3 linked regions of the Sus scrofa genome follow. The protein of the gene in region 3 interacts with the protein of the main gene of each other region in a pairwise test. Links are inferred from orthologs where the notes say so. Each region holds a gene or a part of one and is shown on either strand. Other genes may lie near its edges. The genes, in order: TNFAIP1, FCHO1 and EXOSC5.

What was found.
Region 1: the proteins of EXOSC5 (region 3) and TNFAIP1 interact in binary tests that used the Homo sapiens proteins (3 or more experiments, as listed by UniProt). The two-hybrid records come from large-scale screens. The link is inferred for Sus scrofa from reciprocal best matches to the Homo sapiens genes EXOSC5 and TNFAIP1.
Region 2: the proteins of EXOSC5 (region 3) and FCHO1 interact in binary tests that used the Homo sapiens proteins (3 or more experiments, as listed by UniProt). The two-hybrid records come from large-scale screens. The link is inferred for Sus scrofa from reciprocal best matches to the Homo sapiens genes EXOSC5 and FCHO1.

Annotation. Positions count from the first base shown.
Region 1 is NC_010454.4:44,615,580-44,619,750, forward strand, and holds the start of TNFAIP1 (BTB/POZ domain-containing adapter for CUL3-mediated RhoA degradation protein 2), read left to right. Parts: upstream 1-1,260; 5' UTR 1,261-1,449; intron 1,450-4,171. UniProt on the Homo sapiens protein: Substrate-specific adapter of a BCR (BTB-CUL3-RBX1) E3 ubiquitin-protein ligase complex involved in regulation of cytoskeleton structure.
Region 2 is NC_010444.4:59,969,855-59,973,501, reverse strand, and holds part of FCHO1 (F-BAR domain only protein 1), read left to right. Parts: intron 1-905; coding exon 906-1,058; intron 1,059-1,298; coding exon 1,299-1,403; intron 1,404-3,055; coding exon 3,056-3,154; intron 3,155-3,246; coding exon 3,247-3,343; intron 3,344-3,647. UniProt on the Homo sapiens protein: Functions in an early step of clathrin-mediated endocytosis. Has both a membrane binding/bending activity and the ability to recruit proteins essential to the formation of functional clathrin-coated pits.
Region 3 is NC_010448.4:49,372,849-49,375,930, forward strand, and holds the end of EXOSC5 (exosome complex component RRP46), read right to left. Parts: intron 1,801-3,082; coding exon 1,711-1,800; intron 993-1,710; coding exon 900-992; 3' UTR 530-899; downstream 1-529. UniProt on the Homo sapiens protein: Non-catalytic component of the RNA exosome complex which has 3'->5' exoribonuclease activity and participates in a multitude of cellular RNA processing and degradation events.

The sequences.
Region 1 (4,171 bases), on a different chromosome or scaffold from region 3:
ATGAATGACTGCTAAAACAGAGCAGGCTAGGAGTTCCCATTGTGGCGCAGCAGAAACCAATCTGACTAGGAACCATGAGGTTGAGGGTTAGATCCCTGGCCCCTCTCATTGGGTTAAGGATCCCACGTGTTGAGGTGAGCTGTGGTGTAGGTGGCAGATCCGATCTGGTGTGGCTGTGGTGTAGGCCGGCAGCTGTAGCTTCGATTCAGCCCCTAGCCTGGGAATCTCCATATGCGGCGAGTGCGGCCCTAAAAAGAGGCAAGAAAAACAAAAACACCAGAGCAGGCTATTACAGTAACCAAGGCTTGGAGCTGAAGGAAAGTGTTCCGAATTGTTTGGTAAAGTCGAGTTGATAGGACTTAGTAAAGGATGAATGAAAGTAGGGGTTTGGAGAGGAGTGAAGGAGAGTCAGGTAAGATTCCCATGCATCTGGCTTGAGCCAGATGTATGGTTGGAAGGGATGGTTGAATGAGATGGATCGGGCCTGAAGAAGTGGAGAGAGAGGGTTCGCAGCCGACTACCGGATTCTCTCCCAACTCCCACCGCACGCTCATCTGAGGAACACTGGGTATAAAGGCCGAATTGAGTTCCCTGAAGATGAGAAGGACGTCGCGCTCTCGTCCCCCCACCATCCCCACCACCACCCTGGCTCTGGCTCTACGCTGGCCGCTACCTCCACCCGCGCGGTGTGGAGAAAGTTAGGAAAAGCTGGGTGATGGGGCTGGTTGTCTTCACTACGTAAACTCCTTGAACTTATCTGAGCCGCAGTTTCCTCCTAGGAGGGTTGCGAGCGTCAGAGCGAAAAGCTCGAGGCCCAAGCCCGGGTAAAACCGCTCCCAGAGTCGGGAGGAATTCCCACATTTCTTTCGCCCTGGGACTGCTTTTCCTCGGGGCGCGGGCCTGTCAGGCTCTTCCTGCCCCGGGCCCATCCCCGACCCGAAGTCACAGCCTACCTGTCCACCCCGCAGCGGCAGCGCCTGCGGCTCAGGCTGAGGTCCGCAGGCAACTCCCCTCTCGCGTCAGGGCAGCCGGTACCCAGCCAGCCAGCTTGCCTCAGCCGCTGCCACGGCTACAAGACCTGTTTACGCCTAACGTCACTTCCGGGCACAGGAAGCACTTACACCCATCCAGCTGGCAGAGCATGCTGGGAGACAGAGGCCTGGGAAGAGGGATGGCTGCCTACAAGACCCAGAGGTCTTTGCGCCGGAAAGTCGGCCTGAAGTAGGTGTACGCTCGCTGCGGAATACTCTTGGGGGCTCCTCCCTCCGCCCTGATTGGGTGCTATGTCTGCCCGGCCTCACAGTCTCAGGCCCTGGCCGCCTGGGGGCGGAGTCCGGGGGTGGTGAATGTGAGTTTACCGCCCGAGATTGCTGGCGGGCAAGCGGTGGTCTAGGGGCGGCGCGGTGTCGACTTGCAACCCAGCTGAGAGGAGAAGCGCCACCAGGGAGGGTGAGAGCCGAGTCTGCCCATGCCCTAGGGGAAGGGATGGACGGGTCCTGGGCTGAGCCAAGAGAACCCTACCCGGTCCTGGGGAAAAGGCGTGGGACGGCGAAGGGAGGTGGAGATCTCAAATCCTTTGGGTGGGTGTTAGAGCCGGTCTCGGTTTCTCGGTGGTGAGGCGGGGTACGGGTTGAGGAAGACTCTACAGTGGCCACAGAGAGGTTGAGTCTCGCTAAATTTCCCCAAACCCTTTGGCTGAAGCATGAGATTTACACGCTTGGATTTACACCCTTGGATTTCTGCTAGATTCCCCCCTCTGTAGGGGATCGGCTCCTCCTCTCGCCATGCTCCGTGTGATGGGTTTCTCGGACCTTCTTTCCTTAGGACCCCACTTCTATCACCGCCTTGTTTGTTTGGCCTTTATTCGGCTTGGGTTCCCATTAGCTTCACCGAGCGTGACACGGATACGCCCCTAGCATCCCCAAATACCCACACACAAAGTCCGGAAGGAAGAGCACTGAGGCTCTCAGTGGAAACTTCATTCTCACTGGAATTACTTTCTGGGGCGTCACCTGCCACAGGATTCCAGGAACCCATTGGCCTGGGCGGAATCTGAGCGGGTGGAATCTGGGCTGATGTCATCCATGGGCTCAAAGCAATTGCTTTGTAGGAAAAAGAAGAGATTAGCTTGGATTTGTCTTCCTCTGTTGGCAGCCGCTGTTAAGGGGTGGATTTATTCCTTTGGGGTGGGCGGAGGAAGGTAAGGTGACCTCATACCATTCAGGTTTACTTACTGATTGGGCAATCCGCTGGTGGGGGCTCATCTCATCCCTACTGAACCAGCCACCAGAGGAATTCGGCATTTCATACAGCACCTGCTCTGGCGCTTCCTTGGACTCTCTTCACAGGGACCTACCTAAATCTTTTCAGGGACAATTTCAGTCTAACACACTGACATATTAAATACTTCAGAATGTGCATAGCATTCTGCTAAGCACATTTCTGGGTTAGACTTAGAGGAGATGATGATGAAGTCATTTCACTTTTTTTTTTCTGACTCCATCACCACCACTGTAGTCCAGGTCTTCATCCTCTCTTGCCAACTCTTCCTCCGTCTGCACCCTACAATCCATTCTCCTCACAGCAGCAGAATGATCGCAGATTCTGTCACTCCCCAGCTCTAAACCCTACACTCAATGCCACTGCAATTAGTATAAAACCCAAACTCTCCAATATGATCCAGCCCATTTGCCCCTTCTTGCTGTGCACCAGCCATCTTGCCCTTATTTCTGTTACTAAAACTTGTGTCTGAGGAGCTTTGCACTTACTATTCTGTAAGAGCATCTCTCTGGAATGCTCTTTCAGACCTCAGCTGGAACGTCACCTACCCTAAGATGCTTTCCCTGATTCCCCATCTAAATTAGTGCCTCTCTGTAGTCACTCTCTTATCTCTGTTTTATTGTCTTTATTACATTTCTCACCTTCTGGAATTACCTGCTCATTTATTTATTTTCTTGTTTGTTGCCTGTTTCTTCCCACTAGAACGTAAACTCCCAGAGGCTGTGACTTGTTTGTTCACTTCTGTATCCCAGGCACCCAGCACAAAGCAGGAGCATAATAAATGCTAATTCTTATTAGTTTTATTCTTGGTAACATTATCATGCTTCTTTGAACTTCCTGAAGGCAAGGACAATATCTTTTCATCTCTCTCTCCCCACTACTTAACCTCGAAGGCACACGATATTGTTTTATTGCCAAATGAATTAAATGAGCTGATATATATTAAATGCTTAGAATAGTACCTGGAACATAGTAAACACGCAGAGAATGTTGGCTGTTTTTTTTTCTTTCAGTGAATGAATTTTAGTGTTACTTTAGAAAACCAGGACATATGATGTAGAATCCAGATCGCGAGGGGTGACCTGGGTTTGCCCTCCTCTGCTTTCCTCCCGCCTCCCTCCTATGAACTCCTCTTAACATTTCAGTTTTCAAATCACCTACTGTATTTCAAGTTATCGTCTGGCCTTTTCTAGCCCTTTCTCCCCATTCTTGTTGGGCAGGAAGAGAGAGGGCTGGGGCCCCCCCCTTAGGAAAAAGAACCAAAAATAGCTATCCTGTCGTTGTTCTAGCCTGAAAAATGGTTTCAATTTCAGGAACTGGGGACAGGGCTGATGCCAAAAAAAAAAGGGGGAAGATCAGGAAACCCCGACTGGAGCTCAGGTGACCTCTGCCAGGAACACTGGCTGGCTCCCTCCAGCCTGGCTCCATCCATGCTCTCCTAAAGCTGCTTTTACTTGCCTGCCCGAAGCCAGACTCTGGGTGATGTCAAAGGAAGCACTGGTGCGGGCTGTGCTGCTCTGGAATCGCTAGAGAGGAAGTGCATCCTGTCCCTCAGACTCCTGGGAAACTCCTAGGCTGGCTGGATTCCAGTAGGTTTGGCTTCAAGTCTTAGGTCTTGGGAACCTTGAGAAGAAAACAGCTGAATCTGACTGGTGGGTCCTGCCCAGCCTGTTTCTGGAGCTGTCTCTGACTAGCTCCAAGGGTGTGCTTGTCCTCCCTGCTGCCCAGAGCTGGTGAGGCAACCAGCCCTGGGTTCTGGAAGGCTGTGCTCCCAGACCTGGTTCCTGGTGCCATGAAGAACAGCAGGAATGTCCTCTGCCATTACCTAGGGCCTTAGCCTCTGCCAGGGAGTCCTGGGCTCTTAAGGAGAGAATGACTAATGGTCAGTGTT
Region 2 (3,647 bases), on a different chromosome or scaffold from region 3:
CATGAGGACACGTATTTGATCCCTGGCCTTGCTCAGTGGAATTGCCATGAGCTGTGGTGTAGGTCGCAGACATGGCTCAGATCCCGTGTTGCTGTGGCTGTGGTGTAGGCTGGCAGCTATAGCTCTGATTCGATCCCTAGCCTGGGAACCTCTATATGCTGCAGATGTAGCCTGAAAAAACAAAAAAACAAAAACCAAAAATAATAAAATTAGGGAACAAAGAAATTTTTCAATGGGCTGATGTGGAACAATCTTGGGAATGGATTCAGTGGGAAAAACTTGTGAACTAAGCAATATGGACTGTCACCATTTGTCCCAAAAAATGGGCTAGCACAAGCACATTTGCTGGTCTATGAGCCAATTATTTCTGGAGACATATGATGATAATGGGAAACTCCTAGGCAGAGGCCTGGGAGGCTGGGGATCAGGGAGGGTGTGGGAGGTTTTTACCTGAGCTCACCCCTGAAAACTTTCCGAAATGTGAATTATGTGTAAATATTTAAGCTTTTGAAGTTAAAGGCATTCCCATTGTGGCCCAGCGGGTTAAGAATCTCACTAGCGTCTCTGAAGATATGGGTTCGATCCCTGGCCTTGCTCAGTGGGTTAAGGATCCAGTGTTGCTGTGAGCTTCAGCATAAGTCTCATTGCTGTGGCTGTGGTGTAGGCTGCAGCTGCAGCTCCAATTTGACCCCTAGCCCAGGAACTTCCATATGCCACAGGTACAGCCCAAAAAAGGAAAAAAAAATTTTTTTAATTAATAGAATACTCGAAAAAAGTACTCTGTAGGACCTGGAATCCCAGAGTTTTGGAAGCTGGGAAAGTCACAGGTCTGCTCAGGTCCTGCGTCCCAGCAGGGGCTTCAAGTGGACCCCCCCACCACGCTCTTTTTTTCCCCATCTCCCCAGTGCAAAGAGGAAGCGCTGGGTACCCTGGATGCCGTGCAGGTCCTTGCAGGCGTCAGCCAGCTCCTGCCCAAGTCCCGCGAGAACTACCTGAATCGTTGCATGGACCAGGAGCGGCTGCGGAGGGAGAGCACCAGCCAGAAGGAGATGGACAAGGTGGGCACGTGGCTGCAGGTTCCCAGATGCCACTAGCCCACACAGAAATGAGGAATTTGCCCAGGGGTGGTGGGGCTGCCTGTTAAGAAAGTGAAAAACATATTATACAGCAAGGATCACTGAACCTGCATGAACCACACTCCTGGGTAGACCCAAGGAGTCCACCTGCTAGGGGGAGGGGATGGGGGGAGTGTCCTGAATGTCCCTCTCCCAGCCCCTTCCTCCCCCTGGGCCTCCTAGGCAGAGGCCAAGACCAAGAAGGCGGCAGAGAGCCTGCGGCGTTCAGTGGAGAAATACAACTCAGCCCGCGCTGACTTCGAACAGAAGATGCTGGACTCGGCTCTGGTAAGCATCGGGCATTCATAACTTGGAGACCCACACATTTCTGGGCCCAGGATGCTATGGGCCTCAGAAGTCCAGAACCTCCCAAACGTCAACTTCCAGGAGCCTTAGAATCACAGACTTAAAGCCATAGAATTCTAGAGCCAGTTAACTATTGTATTGTTGGTAGCGATATTATTTCAAAAACCAAATCACTTTTGTGCCTTAGTTTCCCCATCTGTAAATGGGGACAATAATAATAGTACCTGCTTCGGAGTTCTCGTCGTGGCGCAGCAGAAACGAATCTGACTAGCATCCATGAGGACTCAGGTTTGATCCCCGGCCTTTCTCAGTGGGTTAAGGATCTGGCTTTGCTGTGGCTGTGATGTAGGCCAGTGGCTACAGCTCCTATTGGACCCCTAGCCTAGGAACCTCCATATGCCTTGGGTGCGGCCCTAAAAAGACAAAAATAATAATAATAATAATAATAGAACCTGCTTCACAGAGTTGTTGTGAAGATTAAATGAGTCACAATATGTGAAGTTTTCAGACTAGTACTGAGTGCATAGAAACCACTCTGTGAAGTATTATTATTACTATTTCTTTCTATTTTTTTTTTCTTTTTGCTTTTTAGGGCCACACTGGCAGCATATGGAAGTTCCCAGGCTGGGGGTTGAATCAGAGCTACAGCTGCTGGCCTATGTGACAGGCATAGAAATGCAGGATCCTTAACTTACTGAGTGAGGCCAGGGATTGAACCTGCATCCTCATGGATATCAGCTAAGTTTGTAACCCGCTGAGAACAACAGGAACTCCTATTTTTATTATTATTAATGAGTTTTTTAATAAGATCAGGCAGAGTTTAGATGCTGAGACATGTCATGGTGGCCTGGTCTAGCCTTCATCTCTCATCAGCTGTGCAACTTTTAACAAGACACCACACCTCTCTGGGTCTCTGTCCACCCAAATGTTTAAAAAGCAGATTGGGATCTCAGGATTAAGAATCAGGTTTTTTTTTTGGGAGTTCCCGTCGTTTGTTTTTTGTTTTTTTTTTATTTTGTGGTGATAGAAAGTTGCAAGTGATACAAATTTTCATTCTAACTGACAAAGAGGAGTTCCCTGGTGGTCTAGTGGGTTGAAGATCCAGCATCATCATTTCTGTGGCTCAGGTTGCTGCTATGGCATGGGTTTGGTCCCTGGCCCAGGAACTTCCACATGCCACAGGTGCGGCCAAAAAAGAACTGGCAAGGAGATTTATAGGCTAAGGGAACTGAACAGTTTGAGGAAGGGCTTCAGGCATGGCTGGGTCCAGGTACTCAAATGGTGTGGCAGTAAGTTGTACCTCTCTGCTTCTTAAGTCTGTTTTTCTCCCTGAGGTCTTCACTCCTAGGCAGACATGCCCTCCTGGATATGTGTGTGTGTGTGTGTGTGTGTGTGTGTAGCAAAGTAGCCACCAGCAAGTTCCCCCCCCCCCACCCCATGCATCCACCAACTCCTTAGCTCAGGGTATGAAAGTGTTTTTCTCTATAGTTCCAGCAAAAGTCTCAGGGCTCTTCCCCAAACCAATCACTGAGGCCAGGGGGTTGGAATGTTCTGGTTGGTCAGGCTGGGTCACACAGCCACTCCTTGTGGTTCCACCTGCCACCTTCCCATTGGTCCCTCCCCTCCTGCCTCAGCGCTTCCAAGCCATGGAGGAGACCCACTTGCGGCAAATGAAGGCACTTCTGGGCTCTTATGCCCACTCAGTGGAGGACACCCATGTGCAGATTGGGCAGGTGAGTGGGGCTGGGTCCGGGGAACAAGGCTGGGGTGCTGGGCAAGAGGGCCCTGGCCCTGCCTGGTTACACACCCCATCCGCCTGGCCCAGGTGCATGAGGAGTTTAAGCAGAACATAGAAAACGTCAGTGTGGAGATGCTGCTGAGAAAGTTTGCAGAAAGCAAGGGCACAGGCCGGGAGAAGCCTGGTGAGTTGGGGCATCTGTGCGGGTTGGGCCATGGAGCCACAGCTATAGGGAAAGAACAGGACTCAAGAAGCGAGAGAATGAGTCTCCTTGGGCCTCATTTTTCCTCATCAGGAAAATGGGCTGATGACAGATCTAAGTCAGCAACCCACAGAGGAAGAGGATTTGATGCCAGATCTTATGTGTAAATCTCTTACAACCAGATATCAGAGGGGCCTTGAATGCCAAGGTCAGCCTCTCAGACTTTACCCTGAAGCCCAAGGGAGCCTTTGAGTGTTGTTGAGCAAAAGACCAATTTGAAAATGTC
Region 3 (3,082 bases):
CTTGGGTTGCTGCTGTGGCACAGAATACGCCCATTTTCAAAAGCCCTTGTGAGATGCTGCCACCCGTGACTGAGAACCAACAGACCTCAGCCACCCCCGTTCACAGGCAGGGAAGCAAAGTGCAGAGTGTACCAGACCCGCATCTCCCGGGTTTGCCCGAACAGTGGAGGCTCTGGGTATAGGTTCTGAGTGGGACCCATGCTCCACCACTAACCAGCTGGTGACCTCTGGCAGTTAACTGGCTTCTGAGCTTGTTTTCTTACAAAGGGACTATAACAGCCCAACCACACCCTTTTTGAGTGAGTAAAAGCAGCACGCAGAGGCCAGACTCCCCTCCGAGGCCCTCAAAACCCGCTGCCAGGGGGTCATCTCCCCAGGTATCCACTGAGCGCATCCCGGCTTCCTCCTGGGCTTCCCTCAGACTCCTCCCATGAAGGTGCCCCAGACTGTATTCCATCTGCCTTCCCCAAATGAACTCGCTGAAACCCTCTTCCCTGCTTTTCTTTTTTCAAAATAGCATTTACCACTCTCCAACAAACACAAATTTTATTTGTCTATCACAGCACTGCTTCTCAAAACCCAGGACCTGGGTCCCATACATTGCCATGGCCTCAGCACCTGGTAGGGCCCACACACTGTAACAGGCCTTGCAGGGCTGTTGAGATGAGTAGGTTCATTCAATAAATGCACAATCCGTTTTCTTGGGGTGGGGCAGACCCTGGGGCTATTAGCCACACATTCCTGGCAGGTTAGGGGCTCCTGCAGTGACAGAGCCACAAGCTCACCCCCACGCACAAGGACAGACAGGCAGGGCCGGGCTGCTGGTTTAGTTGGTACTGGAGGGAGTGGGCGGTGGCGGGAGGGGCACCTGCCCTGGCCTGCCTCAGCTCTTGGCTGCCTCAGCTCTTGGAGTAACGCCTCTGCAGCGATTCCCGGTAGAAGCGGAAGACGTGTTGGGAGGCAGTCTGGGCTGCAGCCAGGCACTGCTGGAGCTGGAAGGAGAGCTGGGTGGGTGCTGGGGGGCCAGGAGGTTCCCCCGGCCCCACCTGACCCCCAGAACCCACAAACCTACTACCCCCCTTCACTGGGTGTCCCCCTCACCCCAGCGAGGCAGGGGGGTGAGGGAAATTACAAGTGTATTTCCTTCTTCCCCACGTCCCGGGCTCCTTGGGGGCGGGGGAACGGGGAAGGCTTCAGGGGTCAGATTCCATCAGTTCCAGGGCAATGGTGCTCAGATTAACAGGATCAGCCATCCTGACCCCTGGAAGCGATTCCAACCTGCCGGGCTCTGGAATCAGAGATTGGAATTTCAGAGCTACAGAATCCAAGCCCCCACATCTTTACTGCCATGTGTGCCTGGACTCACAGGAAGGCCAGGTGGGCAATGCTCCTGGAGACCACCTGGCCCAACAGTGGCCACTCTGTTTTTCAGACACCCTGAATTCCAGAGCGTGCAGCTCTGAGCTGGAAGCTGGAAGGCCTTCAGGTGCTCCCAGCTCCTGATTTCAACCTGAGCCCCTCCTCTCTTCTCATAAACTGGGCTCCCTTTAAAAATTCCCAAAGGTCTCTAAGGCTAAAAGTTTGAAAACGCCTCCTATTTACAGAAGGCAGGCATGGAAGGGGCTCTCCTTAAGCCTCTCAGGGTTGGAATAGGGCCTCTTATCAGGTGGACAGGAAGGACCTGGCTTTCACCCCGTTGCAGGCTGGTACCTCAGCATCTGAGTAGAGTCCCTTGGTGGTGGACATCAGCAGCTTCCGTTCCACACTGTCAAGAGCAAAGGTCAGGACCGCCCGGGCCTCCTAGGGACAAGGGGTACAAGGTGGGGGACCTGGGACTCTCCCCTCAGCCACAATCTCAGTTGTCTCAAAGAGGGGGGCTTACTTTTACAATTTTTCTTTTCAGGGCCACACCTACGGCATATGGAAGTTCCCAGTCTAGGGTCTGAATTGGAGCTGCAGCTGCTGGGCCTACACCACAGTCATGTGGGACCCAAGCTGCCTCCATGACTTACTGCAGCTTATGGCAACACCGGATCCTGAACCCACTGGGCGAGGCCAGGGATCAAACCCACATTCTCATGAACACTAGTGATTTTTTTTGTGTGTACATACTACCCCGTCCCTGCTCCCCCGGGAAATGGTTGCCCACACGACTCTACCACATGGTTCTGACAGGGGCTTCTGAGCACTGTATCCTGGGCCACAGGGCAGCCATGTGTCGGTCATTCGCCTGTGTCTCCCAGCCTCCCCTTGTTGCTCTGTGCCCCTGGGGCTGGAAGCCAGCAAACTGTATTTCCAGATTCTCCTGCTAGTTAGGTTTCCCCAGGAATCTGGTGGGAGACTGGAAGGAAGCAGAGCAGCATCCTGGTCCTTGTAGTAGCAGGAGTTTGGGGTATATTGCCTGCCATGGAAACCGTACCAGTGTCTCCAATAGCACAGAGCAGGAGTTGGCTTCAGGGCGCCTAATCTCTGGGCGTCCTCCCTTCTTTTTTTGCTTTCAGTTCTTCCAATATGATTGTAATCAGTTCCCTGCATTAAATTCCCTCTGTCTGAAATCCCCCAAGGGGTTTTGGCTTTCCCACCTGGATGTGACTGTTTCAGTCTTGGGCAGATAACTAGGAATAACCAGAGCCCCAGCACACTATGAACTTGAGCCAGTGAAGAAAAAGCTCTCTCCTTCTTTGCTTCTGCACCTCTTAAAATCATTTCTCTTTTTGTTGAAGTGGGCTAGAGTTGGGTTTCCAGCACTTGCCCAGATGAATGGAGCAGAGCTTGCCAGCTGGGACTGAAGTGGTACAAGCCAACCATTTTGTTTTTTTTGTTTGTTTTTTGGTCTTTTTAGGGCCACACCCACAGCACATGGAGGTTCCCAAGACAGGGTGAATTGGACTGCAGCTGCGGCCTACACCACAGCTCACGCCAATGCTAGATCCTTAACCCACTGAGCGAGGCCAGGGATCGAACCTGCATCCTCATGGATGCTAGTCAGATTCATTTCTGCTGAACCCCATCAGGAACACCACAAGCCAAGTGTTTTGAAGCGAGACCTGGAGGAGGAAGGGAGAAACTTTCCACTACCTGG